Linked DNA regions of Arabidopsis thaliana. The protein of the gene in region 1 purifies or fractionates together with the protein of each later gene. This does not show direct contact. Each region holds a gene or a part of one and is shown on either strand. Other genes may lie near its edges. The genes, in order: PI, CHR17, CHR11 and CHR4.

Region 1 (6,264 bases):
GAAAAGAAAAGGGGGTGACCTGAGTTCTTCAACACATAACATAATGGCCGGAGTTTTCAAAACGGTTACGTTTCTTGTTTTGGTTTTCGCTGCCGTTGTTGTCTTCGCGGAGGACTACGATGTTGGTGATGATACGGAATGGACGAGACCTATGGACCCCGAGTTCTATACTACTTGGGCTACCGGTAAAACTTTCCGTGTAGGCGACGAGCTCGGTGAGTTTTATTGTTCTTATAGCTGAAATATGTCTTTGTTTTTCTTGTTCTTATAACAGTCATAGTTATGGGATCGTGCATGGATCATGTCGGTGTTGTTCTGTCTTTCTTTCTATATTCTTATGAACATATTTTAGCTAAAAAAGGGATTAATTGAGTTTCCACCGACTGATGTTGATATTCTTATTACAGAATTTGATTTCGCTGCTGGGAGGCATGATGTGGCAGTTGTATCAGAAGCTGCATTTGAAAACTGTGAGAAAGAGAAACCCATTAGCCACATGACCGTTCCTCCGGTCAAAATTATGCTAAACACCACTGGACCACAATACTTTATCTGCACCGTCGGTGACCATTGTCGTTTTGGTCAAAAACTTTCCATCACTGTAGTTGCTGCTGGTGCAACTGGAGGTGCTACTCCTGGTGCCGGTGCTACCCCAGCACCTGGATCAACCCCAAGTACTGGAGGAACCACTCCTCCCACTGCGGGTGGGACCACAACACCTTCAGGCTCTAGCGGAACCACTACTCCAGCTGGAAATGCCGCTTCCTCATTAGGTGGTGCTACTTTTCTGGTCGCTTTTGTTTCTGCTGTTGTTGCTCTCTTTTGAGTCACACTCGAAACCTAGTTATGTATTTGTTTTACCTTACTCTCCTTATTTAAATAGTCATGTATTTGATTATTTGTGAGAATAAGGACTTGTTTTCAAGTCATTATAAACGTCTTATACTTGTGATTAGTATTGAGTTTCAATATATGATTATTCGGTTGCAAAATAAAGAGTGGGTTTCAATATCATTGAGATTACTACTATATATTACCATATTTCATGAAAATTAGTCATCTTCTTCATCCAATTTGTCTAGTTTTCATGTATAATTAGACAAAATTTGCCTTCTCAATATTTTCAATCAACGAGTAAACATTACCTGATTGTGAACCGAAGTTAGAATAATATTAAAAAGACATAGGTTATCTACTAATTCAATATACCAACAATATGGTATTTTTGTTTCAGTGGATACGTTTCTCACCTGAATTCACAACTTTTTTTTTTTTTTTTTTTTTTTTTTGTGTGTGGAGATTTTTAATCTCTGGCTTTATAGTTTGATAATCGAGAAAATGCCAAAAAGTATGCCCGTACTAAGTACAAAACATAAGACCACAAAATTCCACAATAAATTGACACGTGTCTGATCGACGTGAATCAAGAAAACCATAAACTTGTTTTGTTTTCAACAACCAAAGACATTTTCCCCATAACAATGTAAGCATGATAAAGTCTAATGGTTATACCAAGGTCTTTGGTAATTACACTGCTCCTTTTTCTTTTTTTTTTTTCCTTTTTCTAAACCATCTGAATTTAACTTTATTTTATTTACTTCATTTGTCAATGTGATATCTTCAACTTTCAATAATTTAATATGTTTGATTTTTTAGTGTAGCTACGATATTCGATAAGACCTATATATGACATAGAGTTCTTGAAATAGCAAGTCTTGGTTTTGCCAAAGTAAGAACCTGTAAAAATAAAAGCAATTCTTTACAGAGATTTTTGGTTTTAAATCTACAAAGTTGCAAAACTCGTTGCTTTCATTTGATTTAATGGTTAGTTTTCGAGATAGACAAAATGGGAAATTTATTTGCAAAATGATTTAGTTGCAAAATCATTGGGACACTATCTTATTTCACGTTTTATATAATTGATGACATAATAAGATAGTTTCCCAAAGTAATTAATTGATGATATATGTGGTTGGATAAGAAATTATGGTATTATCATGTTTGCCTCTCAAATTTAAATTTAATTAATTATATACATACACGAGTAAGCTAAATAAAAGTTTGACCACATTTCATATGAAGAATTTTATCTTTCCAGATATCTAGAATTTGTTTTCTCTACACAGTTCATTGAAGAAAACATAGTACGGAAGAGACCAGAGGTTAATTAAACGACACTTTAACCTATCACGAGAGAGACTGAGATGATCAAATCAAATGAAAGAAAATAAACATCAATCACATGCAAAGAGTGTTCATTAAGCAAAATCACTAAGTTTGTTTTTACTTTATTTTATTACGTTACTTCAAGTTTTTTTTTTATCTTCTTGGTACTGTAAAAAAAGGAGAGAAAATAGAGTTGGCTATGTGTAATAAGCGAACCAAAAGCAAGCCTTCCATGACTGTGCCCTCAAGAAAGTAGCTTTGTTTTCAATCCCAAACTGTCAAAGTCTCTCTTCACCTCAAGATTAATCAAAACATTTCTCTCTCTATCTCATCAATGTTACTTTAAAACCAATGCTCCTCTTCTTGTTCTTCATATAAACCACATATCCTCTCCTCCATATCTTAACAATTTCATAGCAAACCCTAAAATTGAGAAAGAGATAGAGAGAGAAAGATGGGTAGAGGAAAGATCGAGATAAAGAGGATAGAGAACGCAAACAACAGAGTGGTGACGTTCTCAAAGAGGAGGAATGGATTGGTGAAGAAGGCTAAAGAGATCACAGTTCTTTGTGATGCAAAAGTTGCCCTCATAATCTTTGCAAGTAATGGTAAGATGATTGATTACTGTTGTCCTTCCATGGATCTTGGTGCTATGTTGGACCAATACCAGAAGTTATCTGGCAAGAAACTATGGGATGCTAAGCATGAGGTAATTTTGCTCTCTTTTTAATCTAAAGTTTCTTTGTCTCAAAAATATTCCATGGCCAAAATCATGTAATAAGTTTTCAATTTCTTTACCAAAAACATGTCAAAAGACCCTTGAATCTTTAACCCTAGATGCAGATCTACTATAGTGTTTTGTCTCAAAAACATATATTCTGAGCTAGATATCATGAAATTGGTTATTTAATTTTCTTTTCCTAAAATATGTCAAAGAGAAAGAAAAATACTCTAACCCTAGATGCAGATCTACAAAGGTTTCTTTGTGTATGTAGCCTAACATGCGTCTTTATTGATTTTCTTGTACTCAACAAGACATGGAGCCACAAAACATGGAAGTTATTCTTTTCTTTTGTTCCTGCTTAATTTGTATAATCTAGAGTATATCTAACCAACTGTGTTTTGAAACCATCAAGACCAAATCTTATGCGAATCAGATCCGTAGTTTATGGAGTTATTAATTGAGAGAAAAATCTGGGATGTGATATGTATCTGGGAATGAGAATTTCTGATTAGTACACTGATTTTACGTTTCTGGCTTTCAAAACTAATTGAAAACTTGAAAATTGCTTTTGAGTTTTGAGTATCCTTTTTAAATTAAATTTTGATGCAAATATTATATGTATTATTAATTAGCTCTGACAAATGTAGGTTTAGTTCTCACAAATGAGATATATCTCTATAGGGTAATAAGCATACAGAGGCTTTTATACCATTTAAGTCACTGCCTAGTAGTATTTGTGCATGTATATCTGTGTATGCTTTTACATATACTAATATCAATATATATACATATATGTGTGTCAGTGTGTGTGTGTGTGTTATATGCTTTGCATGAAACATGAACATAGAGAGACTTGTCATGGATTGCTTCTTTGTATATCTATATTTATGTTTAGTTTGTACAGATTACTAAGTATTTTTTTTGTTTGATCTAAATTCTTAAAACCTTTATTGCTCATCTAATACATATTTTTTGTCTCCAGAACCTTAGCAATGAGATTGATAGGATCAAGAAAGAGAATGATAGCTTACAACTGGAGCTCAGGTCATTATTCTTCACCCTTCATTGCCATATCTTTACCCTAGTATAGTATATATATAAAACATTTGATTATAATAATGTTGAAATATCAAATTGAGAAGTTCATGGAAATTGTGACTACAGGCATTTGAAGGGAGAAGATATACAGTCTCTCAACTTGAAAAATCTGATGGCTGTCGAGCACGCCATTGAACATGGCCTCGACAAAGTCCGAGACCACCAGGTATGTATACATTTCTACATACATTCATACACATGAATATATTTAACTTCTTATTTGGTCTGCTTGGCACAGATGGAGATCCTTATATCAAAGAGGAGAAATGTGAGCATATAACTAATCTTATAGTACTCTACTTCTTAGCTTTCGGATTGAAATATGTATTAATGGTTGCATCATTCTTTCTTAACAGGAGAAGATGATGGCGGAGGAGCAACGGCAACTCACTTTCCAGCTGGTATACATATAATGAATCTTCATGCATTTATAAGTTTTAATAATGATTTGGTTTGAAACTATTAGTATGTTTATGTAAAGATATGGTTTTTGGAAATTGCAGCAACAACAGGAGATGGCTATAGCAAGCAACGCAAGAGGAATGATGATGAGAGATCATGATGGGCAGTTTGGATATAGAGTGCAACCGATTCAGCCAAATCTTCAGGAAAAGATTATGTCTTTGGTCATCGATTGATCATCGAGATTTTATAATCTCATCCTGATCAACTCCTATCTATAATATCGTGGTCTTTAGTTTGTCTTTATCAATCTGTGTGTCTTAATCTCGAGCAACATATATACTCGCTATCAGACTTTTTACTTAAGCTATATGTGTGTTGTTTGCTTATGACCTCTATGTATTGGTTGTGTTGTGTGCTTAAACGTTTCGAACTAATTGATCTGTGTGAAACTTATTATTCTGTGATAAGCTATTTGTGATAAAGAAGAAGATCCTTTTCTCTTTCTAAAAGTTAGAATTGTTCTCTAACTAATTTGGAGAGAAAAAAAAAAGAAAAAAAATTGGAGTAAAATAAAAAGGTAAACGTAAAATGTTATACAATATTTTGTCTGGATACCCTTCAATAATTTTACTTTGAATAAATATGTCTTCATACAAAGAGGTTATGGTCGTAAAAATTAAAAAAATGTGGTTGAACTTTATATCTTCCCCCTTCAAAAGCCTGTATTAACAACCTTTTTTCTTAAGAAACTAAAATCTAAAAAATGTAGAAATCAGCCTTGGCCGCTCTTCTTTAAGGCTAAAGAGAATGGTGTTTATGTAGGTTATTGGGTTCTGACTAGTGACTATATTTAACGATATATGGGCCCTTATCCATTGTTGACCCATAAATACGTTTTAGTTAACATGTACAAAGACAACTTTGTAATCACTCAACCAATATTCTGCAGTTTAATCTTGCTTTCATAAAATTTCAATATTCTTTAGCAAAAAAAAAAAAAAAAAAAAACAATTTCAATATTGATGGTGACAGAGAAAATTCATCCTCAAAACATTGCTCCTAATTAATTGATATATGAGACGTGTAGAGGTTTGAAAATTTACCATGGCTTTTCGTGATAAATTGGTGACACAGAAAATCGCCAAAATAGTGATGGTAACTTGGTCAGGTGGCTACCTCTTAACCTCCAAATGACTGATTGGAGAGGAAATATTTTGGTTAATCCCCTAACAAAATGATGATGAATAATTTTAAAAATACAGTTTTAACAAAATAAAAATAAAATTATGAATATGTGTGATGATAAACATTAATAACCTGACAAACCCTTATCCGCCAACTAATGTATAATGAATGGATAAACCCATAGGGTCCAATTGGACAACAACTTTCTAACTTTTTGTTCTCTCAAAATAAAATAAAGACAAGTTGATTTGCTTTCCCAATCACTTTCTGAACCAAATCACTTGCTGCAAGCGAATCATGAATCGCCGAACATTTCGTTTTCTGTTATTATGAGTATAACAATGAAAACAAAGAAACAACAGAAAGAAAAAATCAAATAATTCGTTTTCGTGTAGGCGTGTAGCACTCGCTCTCTCTATTTAAGATTTATTTTCATACAATGAGTTTTTTTTTTTCTAGAAAACCATGGGCACTTGTGGGGCTGTAGTGGGGGCATGCAGCCGCACATTGCTCAATATCTGTTGAAGCAAGTTGATCTGCGAAGATAATATTGCCACTTGGTATATGAACCTTCTGTCCATTGCACCGCACCCAATTGATTTTACACTTTTCACAATTCTATTCAAATTATATTCTTAAGTTTTGATACATTTCTTCTTAGGTAAAAGTTACAGAAGAACCTTTAA
Region 2 (9,066 bases), 630 kb from region 1:
AGAAGAATGATGAGTAGTTGGGGACGATTAGGAGGGGAAGAAAAAGTTTATTTTCAGGTGATGTTTTTGGGGTTTTTTTTTTTTTTTTTTTTTTTTTTTTTTTTTTTTTCTTCTTGTTCAATGGGTTGTATATGTAATATGGGAGGGAGGATTCGAGTCGATTTTTATAATTTTTCTGTACTATTTAATGTCTCATTGTGTATGGATTCAGGTTTCGAGTCTACAGACAGAAGGAAAAGAAGAAAAAAAATCTATCTTTGAAAGACTTCTCTTATCATCTACAAATCTACATTTGTCACACTCAATTGGGAAGTTGTGACAACATGAGAAGAGACGAGAGAGTTATGTTTTGTTCAAATCCGACCACAAAAGTTGATTTGAGATTTACTAAAAACGCACTACTAGGAATGTGGTGAATATTTCTACAAACAAAATAGAGTAAAATACACGTTGAAGAAATAAGAGAAGTCGGAGACAATGCAGTGATGCTTGCGGGTACAAAATATTAGATCCTTGTCTCTAAGGAGCTTCTTCTAACTAATTCTCCGATTCGGAATCAAACCTAGAAGTGATCATAAATCTTTCTGATTACTTAGTGATGGATTCAACACAAGCCTTCTTATTTCCTACGCTTTCCCTGCAGAGACATAAAGTTTTTTTTTAGTTAGGATCAGAAATAGATGGTCTGTCTGCTTTGCATGAATTAACCAGTAAAATGAAAAACTCTTTTTATGTTTTGGAAATGATTTTGAGTACCGAGCTCACATAATCATCCATTGACAGCTGCTTTCGTTTCTTCAGAAGAGATGAAGGGCTCTCATTTGCTTGCCTACCCGAAGGTCGTTTTGATGGCGTTGCACTCTGAAACAAGTTGTAGAACAGATCATGAGAAACAATTCCACAGCATCTCATCAGTAAATGAAAATGTAAACTTAAAATGTTCTTCGCACAAAAAAAAAAAAATGTTCCTTCAAGTCCTCACCTTTGAAAGCTTCTTCTCTTTTCGGGCTTGCCTCTCTCTCTCATCAAATTCTTGATTCTCTTTCTCAATCAACCTGATTAGTGTGTCACATCTCCTTGCAAGTTCCTGAGTTGTGCGGGATTTTACAAACCAGTCAAACCTAAACAAGGGGGATGTCCGAAACGCTGCCTTTAGCTCATCCCAGTTTCCATACCCAAGTTTATGGACCATGCATATCTGATAATCACAAGTTCATCGGGTCAATATCATATTAGAATAAAACAATAACAATGAAATCTCAACAAAGAGTTTGATAAATAGATGTCATACCATGAAACGGTCGCACTCTTCATTGTACAGCTTCCCTTTGTTCTGACCATATTGAATCTTCAGTTCCAGCCACGGGTTTCTGTAGCGATCCAGTTTCTTCCCAATAGCTTTCATGATTTCATCTTTCCTAGAGATTCTTGCTTCCCCTCTCTCAATATTCTTGATGATTCTGTCGTAATCTACAATTTTTACAAAGGAAAACAAGAGGCAGAGCTTACTTAGGATAAATATCCAACTTTGTCGCACTGCAAACACTCATTAACTTTACTTAACAATCTAAAGTTACTAACCATTCAGCTCTTTATATCGCACTTGGAAAACTTGAGCATATCGTTCAACCTCTTCCTCAGTTTTCCCTTCCATCTCAGAGGCAATACTCTTTATGTCGTTCCGGCCATACTTCTCACAAGCCCTAATGAAGGCATTGAAGTCTCTTCTGCTCCATGTTGAGAAACCCTAAAAAATATCAACTCCATTAAATTATAAAAAAACCATCAAAAACAAATGTCAACCCACAGTAAGGTCGAATGGTTTGGCTTGCCTCTTCCAGCAATAGCTCCTTTTCTTCCACTTCTTCAGCAGTTAAGGGATCTCCAACTTCTGCAAAATTATTTCTTAAGTAATAGATTCAGTAAAATAATGTAAGAAAAGAGGGCAAAGACTGAGAAAGACCTTCAGGTTCATCAACCTCAATTGTGTCTTTCATTTGAGTTTTCTGATGTGCTTGCTGAAACCAGAGTGAAACAAATTGCTATTCAGAACTAATCAGACACAAAAGCTGCATAAATTACATAACATGTTGATAAACTTGTTATTCCCACCATAAGGTATCGCACTTCTTTTTCATACAGCTCAGTCAGCCTCTGAATGTTAAAGAACTGAAAATCATGCCTGCAGGATGGACAAGAAATTAGATTTTTACGATAAAAGTACTATAAATAAGACAGGGAAAAGGCTAAATGCAGAGTGGAGACAATTGAGGTACTCACAATTGGGGCATGCGTGGAATTCTAGGCTCTTTAGGTTTAGCTGGAGCACCTTGTCGCAACGTTTGCTTGAAGTATTCAACTTCAGAGTAGCTAAAGGGTGGGTAGAGAAAAGTAAATTGTTGAAGTTAGATATTGTTTAGGAAGACAGGATAGACCACGTAATGAAAAAGTAGAAGTAATATTTACTTGCGCTTTCTCTCTCTTTTTGGTGGATCATTCCAATTTTCACTCACAATCTTTTTAAAATCCACCTTGCTCTCATCCTACCAAACAAAATTAAAAAAGAAATCAGGAAACGATATTCGAAAAACTGCAGAGCATAACCACAGTATGCGTTAAACCTTTCCTTCAATCATTCAATTAATTATCCAAGAATACCTTGTTGTCATCGTCAAAATCATAAAAGTCAGCACCTGCAACAAACCAAAAACTATCTTGTTTGGACATCCCATTACCCATGCAAGGGAGTTACCATTGGAAAAAGGGATAAATAGCACACTTACTGTCATCCATTTTAAACTGTATTGCATCTTCAGTAAATTTCTTCATCTTGGCATCAAGTTCAGCCGTTGCCTCTTCTCCTTTGGCAATGATTCTGTCAATATCCTCATCCGTAATTGTGCTATCTTTAGAACTAAACACCATTTCAGCACCATATCTCACCATTTGAAGCAACTCATCCTTATTAACAGCTGGAAAGCAAAGAAAAGAAATCAGTATATATATGTAAGAGAAAATCCAATACATCTAACAGCCTCAGTACACAAGCACTTACTTTTCTGTTCTGCCAATCTCCCTTGCTGAATAACCAGAGCATCAAGTGCCAACTTCTTGTAAGCTCTCTCAATGACTTTAGCCTCAATAGCATTCTGCATAAGACCAATGCAGAATTAGTTCAAGTTCTCCAGGTCATTCTTACTTCATACACATGGGTACAAGAGTAACCTCGGTGCAGAACCGGAACACTTGAACTTCTTTTTTTTGACCAATCCTATGTGCACGATCCTGAGCTTGCAAGTCAACTTGAGGGTTCCTGCCATAATCCACCCACCTCATTAGGCATAAAAGAAAACACTCATAAATTACAATGGACACAAAAAGAGCCTTACCAGTCACTATCATAGAGGATCACAACATCTGCAGTAGCAAGATTGATACCAAGTCCTCCAGCTCTAGTGGATAACAAGAAAACGAATTTCTCACTTCCTGGCTTGTTATAGGCTTCTATGGAAGCATCTCGTTCGTCACCACCAGTATTTCCATCAATACGGCAGTACTGGTAACCACGATACATTAGGTAATCCTCGAGAATATCCAAAAGCCTTGTCATCTGATACAGATGAGCAAAATCGTTGGAATAAGCACAAAGAACCAAGAAAGATATCACTCAGAAAAAAGGAATCAAAGATAGGAACAATTATTTGTTTGCGTTAATGAATACCTGAGAAAATATCAGAACCCTTGAATCTCGATCCTTCAACTTAGGTAGCAATTTATCTAAGAGAACCATCTTACCTAGAAACAAGAACATGTAAAGAGAAAATAACTAAGCCAATTGCCACATTTCTGAATGATCTACTTGTAATGTAAATCTTACCTGCGTTTGTTACAAGGTGATCTCCTGTAGTATATGGGGGACCAGGCTCCGCACCCTGGAAGAGATAAGGGTGATTGCAGCATTTCCGCAATTGCATTGCTATGTTCAACAGACGTTTGCGTTCTCCACCACCATTAACCACTTCAAGATCCTTCTGCAGTAAAGCCTTGTAGTACTGTTTTTGCATTTGAGACATGCCAACTTTGAGTATTGTCTCCTTTTTTGGAGGTAAGCCTTTCTCTACATCTGATTTTAACCTCCGAAGAAGAAATGGTCGCAGAACCTACAAAGATGAGGTAAATGATTAGCATAAGAACTTAGAGAATAACCTTGATAAAATATGAGTACATACCTTGTGAAGTTGTTGAACAACTTCTTGCTGGTCGTTTTCACCAGAAATTTGAAACCACTCGTCAAAAGTTTCTGCTGAACTAAAAACCTCAGGGAGAAGAAAATTGAGAAGGGCCCACAATTCATGGAGATTATTCTGTAGTAGAAACATATGAAATGAATACAATATTAACTCAAGCAAATCAAGTACAGAAGATAGTAAGAAGCATGTCTAAGGAACACGAAAAGAAAAAAAAACTAAGTTCAACAGACTCAAGCAAGAAAGTAGTTTCAACATAGGCAGAAGCAATCTGACAGAAAAATTGAAGGATCTAAACAATTATAGATCAAAAGATTTGACAAGTACCTGAAGGGGGGTTCCCGTGATAAGAAGCCGATAGTTGGTGCTGAAAAGTCTCATGGTTTTCGAAAGGAGTGAATTCTCATTTTTAATTCGATGTGCTTCATCAATGATTATATATCGCCAGCTAAAACGGCGCAATGTTGTCTTCTCTTTGATAGCCATCTCAAAGCTTGTTACACAAATGTCGAATTTCCCTGCAACTAGCAGTTCTTCACGAATATGTCTCTGCATTATTTAAAATATATCTCAGAATCCTGCCAGGTGCATATAAATGCAACCATTCAAATGTAAGAGCTATTATGACTTACTCTTTCCTCGGGATTACCGAGAAATTTCACAGCACGCAGGACAGGACAAAATCGGCGAATTTCATTCATCCAGTTACCAAGGGTTGATTTTGGAGCAACTACCATATGAGGGCCATTAATTCCCCTGTACTCATGCAGGTAAGCCAACAAAGAAATGGTTTGAAGCGTCTTCCCCAGACCCTAGACCATGAACAAAAACAATAAAGATTAGCATCAGATAACATTAGAGAGCTGAAAAATCTTATTATATGCTAAGATAATTAGTGGTTTACCATTTCATCTGCAAGAATCCCATTTATGCCGTTCTCATACAGCCGAATGAGCCAGTTTAAACCAGCTAATTGGTAATCTCTTAACTTCCCCTGAATACCTGCAATATGAAGAGTATGAAGATCAGATCTCTAAATTCTACAGAATTTATGCAGTCCTACCTAGAAATTGTGAGCTCGCAACTGAAGAATATATCAAACAACTCTACCAATCAAAGAAGTGGGCATAAGGTGTCAAATCCTATAATAACTTCGACTCGCAATAGGACTTGAGCAAACATACGCTATATCAAGATATTAGGAGCAAAACAAAGGTACTTACAAGCGGGCTGAGTGAGCAACCGTGTGCCTCCAGATCCAACTATACCACCCTCTTCTTCTTTTAAACACTCTTCATCTTCCTCTTCCTCGGTTAGTTTGGAAGAATGGCGACCCCTGACGATAAAGTGAAACCCAATAAATTATATTTCTGGAAACTTAATATGAATAACCACAATTTATTTTGAGATAAGTTGCACTCAACACACCTTCCTTTTCCCTTCTTCTGGGACGGAGACGGGTCACTTTTAGCAAAATGTGCAAATAACTCAGTTTGCTGCAGAAGATACTTTATCCTCCCCTTTCCTTTATTGTTCTAATAAATGGAATGATTGAGTTATTTCAATACCTCTGGATACTAAAGACAAGCAGCTCAGTTATTTACTAACTTACCATATCAGCATCTATGGAAGCATTTTGGGAGTCTAAGATTTGCTGAATTTTCTGCTTCTTCATCTTCTGCATTTCTTTGAGTCTAGCCTTCTCACGTTTGCTGATCTCAGCTTTCTCCTCGTCTTCTTCGTCCTACATATAACCATCAAATTATGAAAAGAGTGACCAAATATCCTCACGAGTCACATGAATGTACCATCATAATGAGCGACCACCCATCATTGTAAGCACTTCTAAGCATAAACCTTCAAACAAAGAGAGTCGAAACCAAAAGACACCCAAATATCGAATATACGCTCAAAGGAAACCCTAATCTTACTTAGAATACATTCAGATTTCCAAATACAGCAATCCCCGAATTCACAGCCGACATGCGAATGTAAATCGAAGAGTGGAAAACAGAAACGAAGACATACCTCTTCAGCGTCATCTTCTACGGGGACAACCTCGTCGTCAGAGACAGGTGCTTCGTCGGGCGCAACATCTTCCTCGTCAGAGCCCGCAGAGCGAGCGACGGCCTCGAGCTCGTCATCATCTTCTTCCACATTGGCCTGATCGTTAACTTGCTCCTCTTCCTCCGACGAGTAAGCCTCGTCTGAAGAAACTTCCCGCTTCGAAGCTCTAGCCATCGACGCGCCTCTACGAATCCTGATTTCGTCTGAGAGATCGAATCGAGGGTTCCTGAGTTTTTTTTGCTTTGGTTAGTAAATAAACAAAAGTGAAATTAAAAGCAACAAACCCGACGTTTGAAACGACCGTAGCTTCTATTTTACCCCGTTGATTTCGAGAAATCAAATCTACGGCTGAGATGTGCCACGTTGGCTTGACTTATAAAGATTCTCCCGCCACTTGAGAAGTAAGAGTTTCGGAAATTCCCGCCTTGGAATTCGGGCTTTAAAGGCCCATGGGCTCGAAGTTAAACTTAGAAGAAAGCGAAAGTCAAAAAGGTCAACTTCTCGTTCTTATAACGGAACGGCCTTATCCATTTATCCGCCCGAATCACGTATCTGACACCTCAGCACTTGAAGTTGCGACACGCTACACACCTAAAATTCCAATAATACCCTTTGAAAGAGCCTACACGCTTGTCTCATGCACCTTTGCGTATAGAGGATGAAAGTGGAAGTTAAGAAAAAAAAAACCGAATATTCGTATTTTAATCGCCGTTTCTTTTCTTCTATTAGCTTCTGTTTCGCAAGATCACGACTTCTATATAATAATATATAAGCTCGCCGTATAATTTTCTTGCCGGGAATAATCTCCGATCATCGTCGGAAATTTCCGAATTGTTGTAAAAGAAGTCCAATTTAGGCTTTGGATCCTCAGTTTAATTTATCTGGGACTTTTGGTTGCTGAAATCTCTTTCGGGTTTTGTCCTAATCCTCATTAGTTTGGGTTTCGTGAGTCTCGTTTTATAAGGTATATTTTTGGCTAATTTGCTTCCGAATTCTGCTTTGTTTTAGCTCAATTTTGCCCTTAACATTGGTTGATGAACAGAGGATGATGTGGTTGTGTTTATTGTCTTCTTGCAGAACATGGGACAAAAGAGATTGTTGTTCTTGCTGGCAGTTTTTACTTTTCTTGTTTCATCTTCATATGGTAGAGGTGGTAATGCAACTTCTATAATGATTCTATGTCTGTTTCCTTTATTGGGACTTCCAGTTTTTTTATTCTCCTGAGTCTCTCTGAGCTTAATTAAGATTTTAAACTTTCTGTGTAATGTGAAGTGCTTGGGAAATTGGAAATTTAATCTGGCTACAGTGATTTTTCATTAAGGCCTAATTACATGTTCTATCATGTTTGGAACAAATCAATTCATAATCCTTGTAGCATCATCATATACATAAGGAACCATGAAGGTCAAAATATTGATTTCAAAGCTTTATGTTTTCGACAATTTCATGTTCTTGGTATGAGTTGTGAGGCTACGAAGGAGTTAAGACTGAAGCAAGTGGATTTATGTTAGCTTCTTTCTTCTAACTGCAGTTCTCAAGTTGAAGAGCGATGATGATCGACCTGTTTACAACCATACGCTTGCCGTCACGCTTGTGGAGTATGCCTCTGCGGTAAGTTAATGGCAGATTAGTGAAGTAGTAAAAGACCTTTGATAATGATTTAGCTTCAAAACGTAATACCCTGTAGAACGAATGTCATTTATATCTAGTGTTCTGCAAGTGAGAAGAAATTACACTTGTCCTCTTCATATTTTCATTTATCATTATTTGCACTACTAGAGAAAAGAGATGATGCTGATAACGTACATAAGATGAGTGAATCAAGTTTGTAAGATGTATGCAGGTCTATGAGTCTGATTTGACAAAACTCTTCACTTGGACGTGCGAAAGATGCAATGGTTTGACAAAGGTAAAAAACACATGTTGAAGCAGATCACTGTTTGAACTTTGAAGCCGCAATTATTGAGTTGAGCTCTAACGTTTGTTAGGATGGTGCAGGATTTCGAAGTAATAGAGGTCATATTTGACGTTGAACACTGCTTACAGGTCTGCTCTGATATCATAAGCTACAGCTGGTCATGAACTCATGATGTTTCTTCATTGAACAATTATTAATATCAGTACATGTAACTTGTAACAACAGGCGTATGTTGGGGTGGCTAAGGATTTGAATGCTATCATTATTGCATTTCGGGGAACTCAAGAACACAGGTTTTATTCTAGTCATTGTAATCTAAAAGCTACTCCTTCGCATAAACTTGGTTAATGCTTAATCAATCCAAAACTTGTGCAGCATACAAAATTGGGTCTCAGACTTGTTCTGGAAACAGCTCGATCTGAATTACCCTGACATGCCAGATGCAATGGTACACTTTAACAACAAGTATTTGTCATTGAGTTGGTCTTGTAGTACGGTGGAATTTGTAATAGTTATCCACATTGGCAGGTGCACCATGGCTTTTACAGTGCTTATCACAATACAACTTTACGGCCTGCGGTTTTGGATGCAATAACACGAGTGAAAAAAGTCTACGGGGCGAACATCAACATCATAGTGACCGGTCATTCAATGGGAGGAGCCATGGCTTCCTTTTGTGGTCTAGACCTAGTTGTAATCATCCTTGCATTGAATTTTTTTTTTATCTTATTGTTTTGTCCTTTGAGTTGTTAATGGCTTATATTGGATACAAATCGCAGGTAAATGAAGGTGAAGAAAACGTACAGGTTATGACATTTGGGCAACCTCGTGTTG
Region 3 (9,048 bases), on another chromosome or scaffold:
GTGCTGACCAGATGGATAAAACTAGAAGAAGAAGTGAAGCAAATAGAGATAAGGCAAGCGAAGTTGCGATGTAACGACAAAACTTGTCGTAGACATTACAGATCTTGTTCCACCCAACTTCTTCGTTTCCTTTCAACGCTATGTACGCAACTCCTCCCGCCGTTCCCGTTGCAGACGCCAAAATCCCCAGCATCACCTGTTCATATATACATATTCCGGAATTATTACTTAAAACACCCTAATTAACATGGTATATGGAAGTTTCAAAGTTCCTTGTAAAACAAGTTACCATGTCTAACGAGGCTAGGTAAATGGAGAACTGTGCAGTGAACTCAGGTTTCAAGAGTAGAGAGATGGAGACAAGTGTTGATATGAGCGCATAGAAACTAGCTACCACGAGAGCAACCACGAAGTATCTGCATAGATATATAGCCAATTTAACACATTAAGTTTAAACTAGAAAACATTCCATGATTATGATCAAACATGGAGGAATTTAATTAATTAAAGAGACAAACATGAAAGCGGGCGAGTCATTGAACTCGGCGGAGACAGGAGCCGGAGACGAAACTCCAGGGAGCTGAGTCATCTCTGTCTGGTCGCTAGTCACCATTACTATAAGAGCAGTCAGAGTGGCGGAGAAAAGCAGAACTCTTGTTATAATGTCTATTTTACGACAATCTAGGAAACTGGCGGCTGATGAGGGTGGTGGTGTAGCCGACGCGGGAATCGGTTCAGATTTGCCAGTTTCAGGGTCAGGGTTCTCAGTAGACGCCATCAGATGATTCTATAACTCTTTTGTGGATTAGGTTGTGGTTAAGTTTGGACTGTGAGTTATGAAGTTGGCCGCTACATGAGATTATTTGTGAGTATATATATATAGATAGTCCCGGTGATGAGTTGTAGTTATTACCCACACGCCAAGAAACAAATTTATATTTATTTACACTATTCACTAATGTATATATACAGGAACATGAATATCAATTCATTTAATTTCTAGCTTGCATTTTTCATTGTTTAAAATTTCGAAATAGTTTTTGGAAAATTCACTAGATGTTGTAGTTTTATTTCAACGTTAACATATAATGTTTGTTACAACAAATTTTGCATGCATATCTATTTTTGATTAATAGAAAAATTAATATATTTCTATAGGTATAAGTTATGGATAATGTAGATATATACAATGGGAATGTGTTAGGCCAACCCCGGGAAGGTTGGTGAGGAAATTGGGCGACGGTAATCAAAAACAAAATACAAAAAAGGAGAGTAAAGAACAGTAGGAGTGGTTAACCAATCATCTGCATGAAAAAGGTAATTTTATACATGCTCTTAGGTATCACTTTGCTTTCTGCTTGTGGCTGCAAATCATGTAAATGGATATCTTATTTTATGTAAAAACATTAAACTGCAAGAAACAAATGTCCCAGTAGCATGACCACTTCAGCACTTCTCAAACATATTATAATGTTTTAACATGGATAAAGCTATTTCAGATACTAATCCAGTCGAAATAGAGTAGTTTTGTCTTAGCAAAATCACCAAACTTTATCTCTTGATACCAATACAGAGTGACTGCACAAGTCTGAGAACAACACAAAAAAAGTCAGACCTAACAGTAATAATATATATGAACTCATCATGATTTTTATTTCATATCTTAATAATACCTAACTGGTTTTAGTAAATCCAAATATATAAAATTAGAGATAGCTTTAACAAATTGGGGGCGATGATCAATCACAAAGATTAAAAATAGTGTAACTGGAGAATCTTTCTCGAGCAGCTCCAGCATAGTAATAAGTTGGGGAAAATATCGGGCTTGAAAGTGGGTCTTATGGGTCAGTCAGGCCCAACTATGATTAAACAAAGCCCAAATCGCGAATGTTCCAAAACAACTCTCTTGCTCAGGTGGCGGGTAATTAATTACTAATTCCCCGTTCGATGAAGCGACTAGTTACATCGTAGCCATATATTTATTCAGCTTAATCAACGGTTACAAATTACCCTGAAGCTTCGGTCGTTTTGCAATTTGTATCTAAAGTTTCACTTTTTTTTTAAAATCTTTATTTTACTTTCTCACAAGCGAAGCGAACCCTCGATCTCAAGGCGAAAGCAGATTTCGTAGCTTCCATGGCGAGAAATTCGAATTCCGATGAGGCTTTCTCGTCAGAGGAGGAAGAAGAGCGGGTTAAGGATAATGAAGAAGAAGATGAGGAGGAGCTCGAGGCTGTTGCTCGTTCTTCTGGCTCCGACGATGACGAAGTAGCCGCCGCCGACGAATCACCAGTCTCCGACGGAGAGGCTGCTCCCGTAGAAGATGATTACGAGGTAGCTGCAGGCTAATTTCGTTTTGATGGCTGTGATTTTTGAAATCTCAGTGAACTGCATCTTTTTTGTACTTGGAAAGTTGAAATTTCATTTAATGCAATGGATTCGGCGTTCGCGTCTTCCTTCGTTTGTTAGTTTTAGTCGAATTTTTGTTGAGTGAAAGTTCATTGAATGTCTGCGCATGGTGGCTCATTGTGGTATAAGCAGGACGAAGAAGATGAGGAAAAAGCTGAAATCAGCAAACGTGAGAAAGCCAGACTTAAAGAGATGCAGAAGTTGAAGAAGCAGAAGATTCAAGAGATGCTGGAGTCGCAGAATGCTTCCATTGACGCGGATATGGTGCGTTGTTTGAACTATATATTTCAGGTTTTTAGCTACTTTTCGTTCTCGTGCTTTTAAGTTCTGACGATTCTGAATCATTCCATGTGTTTTAGAACAATAAGGGAAAAGGGAGACTGAAGTATCTTCTGCAGCAAACTGAGTTATTTGCCCACTTTGCTAAAAGTGATGGATCTTCTTCTCAGAAGAAGGCAAAAGGAAGGTGTGTTAGATGCAATTTTTTCCTAAAATATCGGTTCATCATTGCTTCTAGCTTCAGAGTAAATATGATGAGCCAGGCCCTGATTTATGTGGTTTTAACTTCTACCTTCAGGGGACGTCATGCTTCCAAAATAACTGAAGAGGAGGAAGACGAAGAGTATCTAAAGGAAGAAGAGGATGGCTTAACTGGATCTGGAAACACACGGTTACTCACACAGCCCTCTTGTAAGTACCTGTATTTTGCTCTTTAGTCTAGGATTACTGTATATTAATCGTCTCTCTAGTCTCGAGCAACAAGTACAATATGATTGACATCTCCGTCCATTTGCGTAACCATACATATTTTTGTGACCTCACAGTTAGTATGTAGTATAGCGTAAATTACTGGGAAAGCTTGAGATTCATCTATTTTTCTTCTCAATCGACAGGTATTCAAGGGAAGATGAGAGATTACCAATTAGCTGGTTTGAACTGGCTCATTCGTCTTTATGAGAATGGCATAAATGGAATTCTTGCTGATGAAATGGTAAATAATTCTCCCCCAACGATCCAAGCAGAATAAGTTCTCTATATTCTGTCATGCTAATCATGAAACTTTTTTTTCCCTGTGGTCTAGGGTCTGGGGAAGACGCTTCAAACGATTTCTTTGTTGGCATATCTTCATGAATACAGGGGAATCAATGGTCCCCATATGGTGGTTGCTCCAAAATCAACACTTGGTAATTGGATGAACGAAATTCGCCGGTTTTGTCCTGTCCTACGTGCTGTGAAGTTCCTTGGTAATCCTGAGGAGAGGGTAAGTCATGAGCTGTCTGCCATTTCAGAATTTCATGTAAACGTTTATCCCAGGATTCTGAAATGTCTGCTAACTGATGCAGAGACATATTCGAGAAGACCTGCTAGTTGCTGGGAAATTTGATATTTGTGTCACAAGCTTTGAGATGGCCATCAAAGAGAAGACAGCACTTCGTCGGTTTAGCTGGCGTTATATTATCATTGATGAAGCGCATCGAATCAAGAACGAGAATTCACTCCTTTCTAAAACCATGAGACTTTTTAGCACCAATTATCGGCTTCTTATCACGGGGACCCCCCTTCAGGTGTTTGCTCTATCTTATTCTTGAATATTTGGACATTGAAGTTTTCTTTGTTAAGTTGCTTCTAATTGAATGTTGAAACAACCTTTCTTGTACGGCTCTGTTTGCACTCTTAACTTTTGCTTTTCCGGGCACTTTTAATATTTACCGTATAATGACTGTGTAGCCTGCTGTACTCATATTGTCCTCATATATGCAGAATAATCTCCATGAACTGTGGGCTCTTCTAAATTTTCTTCTGCCTGAGATTTTTAGTTCAGCAGAGACTTTTGATGAATGGTTTCAAATTTCTGGTGAGAATGACCAGCAAGAAGTTGTGCAACAACTGCACAAGGTATGGATGCACCCATTCCTTGCATTGAGTTTATTCTGTTCTGTGTGAGTCGTAGGTTAATTGCTTTCATGTATCTTTTTAGGTTCTTCGACCATTTCTTCTTCGAAGACTAAAGTCAGATGTTGAGAAAGGTTTGCCACCGAAGAAGGAGACCATACTTAAAGTTGGTATGTCTCAGATGCAAAAGCAATACTACAAGGCTTTACTGCAGAAGGATCTTGAAGCGGTTAATGCTGGTGGAGAACGCAAACGTCTGCTAAACATTGCAATGCAACTGCGTAAATGCTGCAATCACCCCTATCTCTTCCAGGGTGCAGAACCTGGTCCCCCATATACCACAGGAGATCACCTTATAACAAATGCTGGTAAGGCTAGAAATAAACTAGATCCTTCAGATTTCTGTGGAAGTTTTTTATGAAGCATCTCTATATTGTTATTTTAGGTAAGATGGTTCTCTTGGATAAATTGCTTCCTAAGTTGAAAGAACGTGATTCAAGGGTGCTGATATTTTCTCAGGTAAACGCTAATACAGAACAGCTGGATATAATGGTTTCTTACAGTTCATCTTCTCTTTTTCCTTTGTCTATGTAAAGTCTGAGCCTTATTCTTTTCTTTCCACATGTCAGATGACAAGACTTTTGGATATTCTTGAGGACTATTTAATGTATCGTGGTTACTTGTATTGCCGTATTGATGGAAACACTGGTGGTGACGAACGAGATGCCTCCATAGAAGCCTACAACAAGCCAGGAAGTGAGAAATTTGTTTTCTTGTTATCTACTAGAGCTGGAGGGCTTGGTATCAATCTTGCTACTGCAGATGTTGTGATCCTTTACGATAGTGATTGGTAAGTCTCTCATCATTGTCCACTGTAGTTTATGAACTTTCTCTTCACGTTTGACGAGTCTGGCATATTCTGGCAGGAACCCACAAGTCGACTTGCAAGCTCAGGATCGTGCCCATAGGATTGGTCAAAAAAAAGAAGTTCAAGTGTTTCGATTCTGCACTGAGGTTGGTCTCCTCTCCGTGAATTTCAAGTTAAAACAGCCATGAGAGGTTTAAAATTAATTATGTGTTGTTTGTTTACAGTCTGCTATTGAGGAGAAAGTGATTGAAAGAGCTTACAAGAAGTTAGCACTTGATGCTCTGGTTATTCAACAAGGGAGATTGGCAGAACAGAAAAGTAAGTGCGTTATACAGTGATTGCTTTATGCATTGGTTCATCTCTGACAGAATTGGTATTTATCTTAACTATGCAGCTGTCAATAAGGATGAGTTGCTTCAAATGGTAAGATATGGTGCTGAGATGGTGTTCAGTTCTAAAGATAGCACAATCACAGACGAGGATATTGATAGAATCATTGCCAAAGGAGAAGAGGCAACAGCTGAACTTGATGCTAAGATGAAGAAATTCACAGAAGATGCTATACAGTTTAAAATGGATGACAGTAAGGGTGTCACTTACCTACTATTTCCCCTATTAGGTTGTGTGAATATTGTAATGTTTTGATAATCTGTTGTTTTATTTGTTGTAGGTGCTGACTTCTATGATTTTGATGATGACAATAAGGTAACTTGTATATTTCTTTGCATAGTCTTAACTTTCATGTCATATCCCTAGCTTTGCTCTGCATTACTGATGATAAAATTTACTAATATATTTGTAAATTTGTTCATAGGATGAAAACAAGCTCGATTTTAAAAAGATTGTAAGCGACAATTGGAATGATCCCCCCAAGCGGGAGAGAAAGCGCAAGTAATGATTACTTCTGTCTTATACATTGTGCAGTCCTATTTTGCCAGTCTTCATATCTAAAAGAAACATCCCTTTTGTTTTATCTACTGTATCTTCAGCTACTCTGAATCTGAGTACTTTAAGCAAACATTGCGGCAAGGTGCTCCAGCTAAACCTAAAGAGCCTAGAATTCCGCGCATGCCCCAGTTGTGAGTACCTCAACAACCTCCATCTCATTGTTGAATGCCTTTTCCCTGTTTTGATGATTTTCTTACACTAGAAATCTAATTTATTGTCCCTCTTTCAGGCACGATTTCCAGTTCTTTAACATTCAGAGATTGACCGAGTTGTATGAAAAGGAAGTACGTTATCTCATGGTAGGCCTCTCTCAAAACGAAACACTTGATTCCTTTGATGTGCTTAAGAGCGAGTTTTTTTGCCTTATAAAAGCAACTTGCTTCTTTTTGTGCTTTTTGGTTTCAGCAAACACATCAGAAAAATCAGTTGAAAGACACAATTGATGTTGAAGAACCAGAAGGTCAAGCTTGTACCCACTTTGTTAACATGTACCCACTTTGTTAACATGTTTTTCAGCAAACCTATTACTGATTAAGAATTTTTTTGTTAGAAGGTGGGGATCCCTTAACTACTGAAGAAGTAGAAGAAAAGGAGGGATTATTGGAGGAGGCAAGTGAATATGTTTGATGTTAGAGTGGTCTTAGACATTTGATTTGGTAGGCTTTAATTAATTTTTTGTAATTGTCAATCTCCAGGGTTTCTCAACATGGAGCAGAAGAGATTTTAATACTTTCCTCAGGGCTTGTGAGAAGTATGGCCGCAACGACATAAAAAGCATTGCCTCTGAGATGGAAGGGAAAACAGAGGAAGAAGTTGAAAGATATGCCAAAGTATTTAAAGAGCGGTACAAGGAGCTGAACGGTAAGTAACACCTTTCAATGCTAAGTTATGCAGTGTTTTTACATGTTTCTAAGTAATTCCTACCTCCAAAAAGAGCTTATGCTAAGTAAGTTTATCATCTTTCCCTCTAAATATGTAGACTATGATAGAATCATTAAGAACATTGAGAGGGGAGAGGCAAGGATCTCTAGGAAAGACGAAATCATGAAGGCCATAGGGAAGAAACTGGATCGCTACAGAAACCCTTGGCTGGAACTGAAGATTCAATATGGTCAGAACAAAGGCAAGCTGTACAATGAAGAGTGTGACCGTTTCATGGTATGTCTTTTTCTCGTTTCCCTTTTTGCTGTTCTGTCTCATTAATTATATCATGAAGTTTTTGACTGTTGAGGAACTTTGGTGGTGAAAAACAGATCTGCATGATTCACAAACTTGGTTATGGGAATTGGGATGAGCTAAAGGCAGCATTTAGGACATCGTCTGTGTTCAGGTTTGACTGGTTTGTGAAATCCCGCACGAGTCAGGAACTTGCAAGAAGATGCGACACTCTGATTCGACTGATCGAGAAAGAGAACCAGGAGTTTGATGAAAGAGAGAGGCAAGCCCGCAAAGAGAAGAAGCTCGCGAAGGTAAAATAATGCAATATTTTCATGTATAAGGTTGTATTCTTTTGATTTGATTTCTTTAGGTGGTTAATGCTTTTCTGGTTTTTAATCTTTGAAGAGTGCAACACCATCAAAGCGACCTTTAGGAAGACAAGCAAGTGAGAGTCCTTCATCGACGAAGAAGCGGAAGCACCTGTCGATGAGATGAGATTATGTGTTTACGGATCTGTCGAGTCTTTGTTGTTACATATAGTTAAGCTAATGTTAAAAACATAGCAAATGGATTTCATTCTGCTTTCATGAATGTTTGTCCTGGTTTGACTTGGATTTAATGAAATGACTTAATTATAATTTTGTAGACTTCTCTTCCGTAAAGAAACTGAACAAAAGGATTTGAGGCCATTGGATGGCAACTTAGGCTGAAGCTTAAGCAAAAGTTATGAGTTTCTGAGGGATATATGAACAGACGATTTTTTCCACAATTTATTACTTCTTTGTTCAACGGTTGCATTTTATTTACTTAGAGAGGAGAGATCTGATACTTTTGTGGAAAGAAGATGTACATAGGCATTGTTCGTGCAATGTGCAGTGATTGAATGTAGATGTCATTGGATACAACTTACAAGAACGAGGAAGAGAAAATGTGTACACTATATCCGTTTATGCTTCTTTCTACGTTCGCAGACATTTTAAATTACTCCTCCAGATTCATGAAGGAATAAAAACAGGGGACTTCTGATGAATGTCGCTTGAATAAGGCCATTTATTAGTAATTCGTTATTCAAGAAAAATAAACAAGAGAGGAGAGATGGCCGTATGAGAGAATATATTATATATGGACAAATGGTCAATGACAGAAGCTTTAGTCTCTCTGCTTCCATCAAATCTCAGACCCCAAAAATAATCTTCTTTTCTCTTTTTTTCTTAATGTTGCTTAGTTCATGAAGAATTGAGAATATTTTCCTCTCTTTTTTTTTTTTAACTTGAAGTCTTAGCTTCTATGCTGCCACTGACGCTGGCTGAGTCACCACTCGTCTCAGCTGGCTCAGGACGGCTCAAGCCACTGACCATAGAAGAAACTGCAGGAGTCACAGCCTCTTTGGTGGGTTCATTGCTAGAGCTTACTGGAGCTGATGAGCCGCTGAGTGAGGATGATCCGATTGGGTATGGCGCCACGGGCATATCAGTTAGTGATGATGCAGACGGACTGTAGCTAAGCGAAGAACTCATTGAGTGATCAAACTTACACGCCGGTCCAAACTTGCAGATTCCGTGTTGAGCAAAGTGAGTGCATTGCGCTACGCCCTGTCAAATACATTGAAACGTATCATATCAAGACTCGTTGAAAATCTTATATTGGATCGAGTTTGTATCTCTAGAAAAATGAAAAAAGACTTACGGGACGAAGTGGAAGGCCAATGGAGCTGAGGACAATGCCAGTCTTAGGTGGAACTGCATCTACAGGATGATGGTATCGACACGAAG
Region 4 (6,220 bases), about 11 Mb from region 1:
GTTGTCACCTTTATTTTATCCCACATTTTTTCTAATTAGACCATAAGTCATTTTTTTGGTTTCCGTTTGATTGATGAATTCAACATTTTTGTTGTATATGTTCCACGATTTTGCAATGTTCTTCTCAATCGAAGCTAAAGGGATTATATAGACAATTATTGTGTGTGTTTGAATATAGGACGCAGATATAATGTGGCTTAGAGATCCATTTCCTCGGTTATATCCAGATGGAGACTTCCAAATGGCGTGTGACAGATTCTTTGGAAATCCTTATGATTCAGACAATTGGGTCAATGGTGGTTTCACATACGTGAGATCAAACAATCGAAGCATTGAGTTTTACAAATTTTGGCACAAATCTCGTCTAGATTATCCAGACTTGCATGATCAAGATGTGTTCAACAGAATCAAGCATGAGCCTTTTATCTCAGAGATTGGAATCCAAATGAGATTCTTTGATACAGTTTACTTTGGTGGGTTTTGTCAAACGAGCAGAGACATAAACTTGGTTTGCACAATGCATGCTAATTGTTGTATTGGTTTGGACAAGAAGCTTCATGATCTGAATCTTGTCCTTGATGATTGGAGAAAGTACCTGTCTTTGTCAGAACCAGTGCAGAACACGACGTGGAGTGTTCCTATGAAGTGTTTGGAAGATTGAGATTTCCTTCTTTCTTTGTTTTGTTGAGATTTGGATGAAAAGTATATTTAAAAATGAAGAGTTTATTGTTCGTGCAAGGAATATTCTTTAGCTCTCTAATCTAATCAAATATTTTTTTTGATGGTTAATTTTCTCTGTTTGTTAATGTCATTTTTTGTTTTCCGAGCCGAATGCTAGAAAGTACTAAAATAATCTTCTAGACTTTTAGTGTTTTTGGTTTGAAATGTTAATGTATTGAATAAATTGTGTTGTGAAATGATACGATTTTTGTTTCAAACTTTTTCTGAAATTTCTCAAAGTTTTTGATCTTATTTTCAATTACCGAAGCACAAGTTGTAAAAACGTATATATTTTTTCTTTTGAATATAATTTGACATTACATTAAAAAAAAGAAAGAAATGATACGATTTTGATTTTGGTAATATGAAAAATGATCAATGTAGTTTCATAAGTTCTATCAACGTAGATTTTGTAGTCATTTACCCGATTTGTAGATTTAAGTAGTTATTGGTTTGGTCAGTTATAATTTTGGTTTGGGCCTAGATTCGTTACAAGTTTTTTAAATTTAGATGAGATGGGCTGCCGGAGAAGCCCAACACAACATAGGTGGCTTGCCAATTTGCCCAGATGCTTTCGAGTGTAGGTTATATAAGTTTATCATATCTCCATTGGATTAAAAGTAGGCAAGATTTAAACAAAGTGATTCATCAATAATGATATGATATGTGTCATTCATTTACAAATTATGTAACACATAATAGATATTTTGTACCCTAAAATTTTGAAATTTATTGTACATAAATTTTAGAAAATCTGTTGGACTGTGACTAGTTCTTCAACTTATAGAGAGTTGAGTGTGTTTATAATCACATACTGCCTCTTTAAAAAACGTTAACCAAGTCGAAACTCGAATATGGTACTACCACACATGACAAAATAGAAAAAACACTTGAATGTTTACCAAGTAGTACTTGGTCCATTGGCCCAAAAAAAATGAGAATTTGTGCTCCTTTGAAAGGAGTTTTCAACTGCTAGACCCAACCCAAAAGAATGTACGATTAGGCACATTTTCCATAATTGATGTAATGTAAAGAAACACTTGAATTTTAAGTTTTACATATAATATTTACATTTAATTCATCTTCCTCATGAATATGTTGTTCAATTATCAAAGAACCTACAAAGATACAGTATTATAACTATAAGATCACCAAAGAAGAAAACAATCATTTGAATAACAAAAACAGTAAAACACCATATAATAAAACCGTGTTCTAGATACAAATGTAAACCATAGTATCTCACCTTGCTTATCGATTCATCTTTGTAAAAAAAACAAAAACAAATGTGTTCAACTTGGTTTGCAAAAAACAAATAACACAAGTACACAACCATCCATCCAATAACACAATCACAATATTTGTTTCCCAACATTTATGCAACCTTATTTTTAGTGGACACTAACCATAGAAGAACAAATTTCAGTTGTAGTGTTACAAAGTCCATTAAAATTACGCGTTATCAATTACAAAACCACATCTGTTTTTTTTTTTTTTAAACACTTTAAATTTTGTGTCAGATAAAATGAATATATGTTATGACAGCAATCACTTTCAAAAGGCCTATCAAATGGGTCCCAAATGTATAATCCTAATGTCAATCACAAGTAACCTAAGTTCGGCCCAAATACCTGATGGTCCACTTTACAATTTTTCATTAAATAAATATTAAGTAAATAAAATAACAGTAAAAAAAAAGAGTTATTCAGTCTGAAGAACATTAAATTAAGGTTATTAACGTCAAAGAAAAGATAATCATTTTCTCTGGTGGCGGCGTTTTAAAAACATAGATTTGAAATTTTTAACTTTATTCTATAAAACTAAAAAGCTCTCTGTCTAGTAGTATCTAAACGAATTTAACTAAAACCAGCTAAAAACAAGAAGCATAAAAATAATATCAAAGTAGAAACTAAAGGATCTAATAAGTAAGACAAAATTCGAAATTAAGATCCATGGCGGATTTTTGTCTCTTCTCTCATTGGATCGCACTTGACACAAATGATGGTTCGAGACATAACAGCAGAGAAGGGTCCGGTCCGAACCGAAACGGAGGAAGAAAGCAAAAAGGCAAGACCTTTGTTGTTGGGTTGTTGATAAAGAGAGAGAGAGGGGGACACGTGTAGTGAAAAGAGAGGAAGAGAGGTCACTCTCCGTTCCCGGTTCTGTCTCGTGCGGTGCGATTGTTGGGTGCCATGTCAGAGTCCGTTCCCCTATGAGCCCGGCGAATCCGAATCATATGCCTTTCTTTTCGCTATCTCTCTCTCTCTCTCTCTCCCTTTAACCCAAACCCATCTCTCAAAGACTTGACCTTTCTCTCTCTCTATCTCTAATTTATTTATCGTTTCGCGTGTCGCCTTCTCTCTTTCTCTCATTCTCTCTCTCTCTTTCCCTTCGTATCTCTCTCTCGTGAGGCCGTGCCCTAGAAGAAGAAGAAGAAGAAGCCCCTTTCTCCGGGACTTCAATCCCTAACTTCCGTCGCCGGATTTCTCGTCCTTGATTATCGGAGGACTCTTTAACAACTTTATTCCGATTTCAGATTCCCAGATTTGTAAGCTGCTTTCTCCTTTCTGGGTATTTCCTCTTTTTGTATTTGCTTATGTAATTTCGATGATTTATCTTACTTGGTGAGGGGTTTTGATGCTTGTGTAATGTTAATGCTGTTTAATTAAGGACTGATTTAGTGTGATTCGGTTTAATTGAGTTTCTTTGGGGGGGAATTGGGTTTATCTCCAATGAAGCTTTATGTTTAGTGCCAATGTGTGTTGTTTAGCTCTTTTCTCTATTGATTTGTGTGTGAAATTATGTTTGTTTGAGTTTCATTACCAATGGCTGTCTTTACTTGAATCTCAGTGATTCATGAATTCTACCATCTGTCGTTGATTATTTCAGTTATATAGGATCATTGATCTATGTTTTAGAACTAGTGTATTATTGCCTTAGAGAACACCTGATTTTGAAGTAGAGGAATGTAGTTTGCAGTAGAGGAATGTAATTAAGTATGAATTTAATGGAAGTATTCGTAAGGAGTGAGGGAACGAATCGTTTATTATAAAAGCTGTGTTAAGATTAGATTACTTACTAGGTTTGTGTCTCATCTTTAATTAAGACTTTTGATTACGGATGGTGAGGCTTCTAACGTTATACCACCATTTTTAGGGGTGACATCATTTAGTTTCTTAGCTTCTATAGCTTATATGCTTGGATGACGCTGTTTGATTTCATATCGGTTTAAAAGTGAATGAAATTGTGGTTATGGCCTTATGGTTTGGTACACTGTGCTTTGTCCGATGCTGCATCATTGATTTGAGTTATACTTCATTTAATCTTATCAATTTTTCTGTTCAGTATTTCTGAGCATGTGTACAATTTAAGTATTTAACTACCTCACTGTTGTTTCAGTGTCTCTTGATCTTAGATTATGGTTTACATTACTCGTTTTTTGTTTACAATTTTAGTGTAGAGACAGAGTTTTTTGAAGGCCAGTATTCTTTAGTTACTTCGGTAGCTGTGATTTACACATGAAGGTCTATCCGGTTCTCTATCAAGCATATGGTATGGAAACAGAAGTAGAAAATGAAAGATTCAGGCAGTGAAATGATTAAAAGAGATTGGGTCATGAAGCAGAAACGAAGAAAACTTCCGTCTATACTAGATATATTAGACCAAAAAGTGGATAGTTCTATGGCTTTTGATTCCCCGGAATACACTTCTTCCTCTAAACCAAGTAAGCAGCGGCTTAAGACTGATTCGACTCCTGAAAGGAACTCCTCTAAGAGGAAAGGAAATGATGGGGTAACTTCATTTTATCTTTCTGGTGTTCTTAAAAGTTTGTCTCCTTATTTTATTATATGGTGTTGTTTAATTAATCATTTTTCTTTCCTTACAGAATTATTTTGAATGTGTGATCTGTGACCTTGGTGGTGATTTATTGTGTTGTGATAGTTGTCCTCGGACCTATCATACCGCATGCCTCAATCCACCTCTTAAGGTAAATGATTTTTTTTTTTTCCATGTGTCGTTTGTAGTCGTAGATTCGCAACACCTAAATTTGGGAAACTTGTCTTACTCCTTATCTCGTCTCCTCCAGCGGATTCCAAATGGTAAGTGGATCTGCCCAAAATGTTCCCCAAACAGTGAAGCACTCAAGCCTGTCAATCGTTTAGATGCCATTGCTAAGCGAGCAAGAACAAAAACCAAGAAAAGAAATTCAAAAGCCGGACCAAAGTGCGAAAGAGCTTCTCAGATTTATTGCAGTTCTATAATTTCTGGAGAACAATCTTCAGAGAAAGGGAAATCTATATCGGCCGAAGAGAGCAAATCCACAGGAAAGGAAGTTTATTCTTCCCCGATGGATGGCTGTTCAACTGCTGAGCTTGGTCATGCATCTGCGGATGACCGACCTGATTCATCGTCTCATGGAGAAGATGATTTGGGGAAACCCGTCATACCCACTGCAGATTTACCATCTGATGCAGGATTAACGTTGCTGTCCTGTGAAGATCTCTCCGAATCTAAACTATCAGATACGGAGAAAACTCATGAAGCACCCGTGGAGAAGTTGGAACATGCTTCCAGTGAGATCGTGGAGAACAAGACAGTTGCTGAAATGGAGACTGGAAAAGGTAAAAGGAAAAAACGGAAGCGTGAACTAAATGATGGGGAAAGTCTTGAAAGGTGCAAGACTGATAAGAAACGCGCGAAGAAAAGTTTGTCCAAAGTGGGTTCCAGTTCTCAGACTACCAAATCACCGGAGTCTTCGAAAAAAAAGAAAAAGAAAAATCGTGTGACTTTAAAATCCTTGTCCAAACCTCAGTCCAAGACAGAAACACCAGAAAAAGTGAAGGTATGATTTCCTACTCATGATAGATTTTGTAGACATTCTACTATGCTGATACTAGGGAAATGAATTGTCTGAAACCTTAAAATGTTGCATCCACGCCTTTTTCTTAAGTGTGTTGTAGCACTAAAAAGATATAAAAGAAAAAAAATTCAGAGATCAGAGATTTGGTAGAGTTACAAGATTCAGAATCGTTTCAAGATTGTTTGACACTCTGTATTTAATGTTGAGTATCTTCTGCATTAATGTAAAGAGTCTTTGGTCAATATTGCATGTAGTGTTTCTTGTTCTGTCCTGAAGATTGTGGCTATTTTAAGTTCTTATATAACCAGAGTGACATTTTGTTTTGCTTATCATTTTGCGACTCTTCACAAACTCAATATTGTTTTGCCTGTTTATTAGTATAGTGGTTTCTCACAAGTAGTTATGATACATGTGACTATACCTCTGTTTCGGCAGATGAATTATGGATACCTCTTTTAACTGCAGGAGCTTGGAAATAGTTTGATTTTTTTTCTTTAGGAATTTAGAGTTGAAATTTCTTGATGGTCCTATTGATTTCTTTTTTTATTCGTTGTTGTTCTTGCATCATCTTTCATTTAGTATATGTTCTTAACCACTTATACGTACTAATGCAGAAGCTTCCCAAGGAGGAACGTCGTG

The links.
Region 2: the proteins of PI (region 1) and CHR17 purify together in Arabidopsis thaliana (affinity purification with mass spectrometry, with the first as the bait; one study listed by BioGRID). This does not show direct contact.
Region 3: the proteins of PI (region 1) and CHR11 purify together in Arabidopsis thaliana (affinity purification with mass spectrometry, with the first as the bait; one study listed by BioGRID). This does not show direct contact.
Region 4: the proteins of PI (region 1) and CHR4 purify together in Arabidopsis thaliana (affinity purification with mass spectrometry, with the first as the bait; one study listed by BioGRID). This does not show direct contact.

Annotation. Positions count from the first base shown.
Region 1 is NC_003076.8:6,826,583-6,832,846, forward strand, and holds PI (K-box region and MADS-box transcription factor family protein), read left to right. Parts: upstream 1-2,321; 5' UTR 2,322-2,620; coding exon 2,621-2,875; intron 2,876-3,872; coding exon 3,873-3,934; intron 3,935-4,054; coding exon 4,055-4,154; coding exon of another isoform or gene 4,155-4,190; exon of another isoform or gene 4,191-4,226; coding exon 4,227-4,256; intron 4,257-4,344; coding exon 4,345-4,389; intron 4,390-4,491; coding exon 4,492-4,626; 3' UTR 4,627-4,933; downstream 4,934-6,264. Other genes in the region: BCB (blue-copper-binding protein), read left to right, coding at 44-215, 408-826. UniProt on the Arabidopsis thaliana protein: Probable transcription factor involved in the genetic control of flower development. Is required for normal development of petals and stamens in the wild-type flower.
Region 2 is NC_003076.8:6,195,571-6,204,636, forward strand, and holds CHR17 (chromatin remodeling factor17), read right to left. Parts: upstream 6,597-9,066; 5' UTR 6,489-6,596; coding exon 6,276-6,488; intron 5,992-6,275; coding exon 5,860-5,991; intron 5,783-5,859; coding exon 5,676-5,782; intron 5,584-5,675; coding exon 5,471-5,583; intron 5,250-5,470; coding exon 5,152-5,249; intron 5,060-5,151; coding exon 4,880-5,059; intron 4,797-4,879; coding exon 4,575-4,796; intron 4,365-4,574; coding exon 4,230-4,364; intron 4,161-4,229; coding exon 3,878-4,160; intron 3,796-3,877; coding exon 3,722-3,795; intron 3,611-3,721; coding exon 3,390-3,610; intron 3,314-3,389; coding exon 3,226-3,313; intron 3,150-3,225; coding exon 3,056-3,149; intron 2,973-3,055; coding exon 2,784-2,972; intron 2,694-2,783; coding exon 2,659-2,693; intron 2,544-2,658; coding exon 2,467-2,543; intron 2,371-2,466; coding exon 2,281-2,370; intron 2,183-2,280; coding exon 2,113-2,182; intron 2,019-2,112; coding exon 1,964-2,018; intron 1,892-1,963; and 13 more. Other genes in the region: AT5G18630 (alpha/beta-Hydrolases superfamily protein), read left to right, coding at 7,395-7,467, 7,846-7,925, 8,158-8,223, 8,313-8,360, 8,458-8,525, 8,608-8,680, 8,761-8,925, 9,012-9,066. UniProt on the Arabidopsis thaliana protein: Possesses intrinsic ATP-dependent nucleosome-remodeling activity. Constitutes the catalytic subunit of several complexes capable of forming ordered nucleosome arrays on chromatin. Involved in the formation of nucleosome distribution patterns.
Region 3 is NC_003074.8:1,938,930-1,947,977, forward strand, and holds CHR11 (chromatin-remodeling protein 11), read left to right. Parts: upstream 1-2,043; 5' UTR 2,044-2,136; coding exon 2,137-2,334; intron 2,335-2,541; coding exon 2,542-2,673; intron 2,674-2,768; coding exon 2,769-2,875; intron 2,876-2,986; coding exon 2,987-3,099; intron 3,100-3,302; coding exon 3,303-3,400; intron 3,401-3,490; coding exon 3,491-3,670; intron 3,671-3,752; coding exon 3,753-3,974; intron 3,975-4,170; coding exon 4,171-4,305; intron 4,306-4,387; coding exon 4,388-4,670; intron 4,671-4,747; coding exon 4,748-4,821; intron 4,822-4,931; coding exon 4,932-5,152; intron 5,153-5,228; coding exon 5,229-5,316; intron 5,317-5,394; coding exon 5,395-5,488; intron 5,489-5,564; coding exon 5,565-5,759; intron 5,760-5,840; coding exon 5,841-5,875; intron 5,876-5,984; coding exon 5,985-6,061; intron 6,062-6,159; coding exon 6,160-6,249; intron 6,250-6,347; coding exon 6,348-6,417; intron 6,418-6,523; coding exon 6,524-6,578; intron 6,579-6,668; and 12 more. Other genes in the region: AT3G06390 (Uncharacterized protein family (UPF0497)), read right to left, coding at 1-196, 290-416, 519-778; AT3G06410 (Zinc finger C-x8-C-x5-C-x3-H type family protein), read right to left, coding at 8,542-8,868, 8,963-9,048. UniProt on the Arabidopsis thaliana protein: Possesses intrinsic ATP-dependent nucleosome-remodeling activity. Constitutes the catalytic subunit of several complexes capable of forming ordered nucleosome arrays on chromatin. Involved in the formation of nucleosome distribution patterns.
Region 4 is NC_003076.8:18,090,236-18,096,455, reverse strand, and holds the start of CHR4 (chromatin remodeling 4), read left to right. Parts: upstream 1-2,548; 5' UTR 2,549-3,268; intron 3,269-4,175; 5' UTR 4,176-4,293; coding exon 4,294-4,512; intron 4,513-4,606; coding exon 4,607-4,708; intron 4,709-4,807; coding exon 4,808-5,563; intron 5,564-6,195; coding exon 6,196-6,220. Other genes in the region: AT5G44820 (Nucleotide-diphospho-sugar transferase family protein), read left to right, coding at 179-661. UniProt on the Arabidopsis thaliana protein: Chromatin-remodeling protein that binds DNA through histones and regulates gene transcription. May specifically recognize and bind trimethylated 'Lys-27' (H3K27me3) and non-methylated 'Lys-4' of histone H3. Probable chromatin remodeling factor.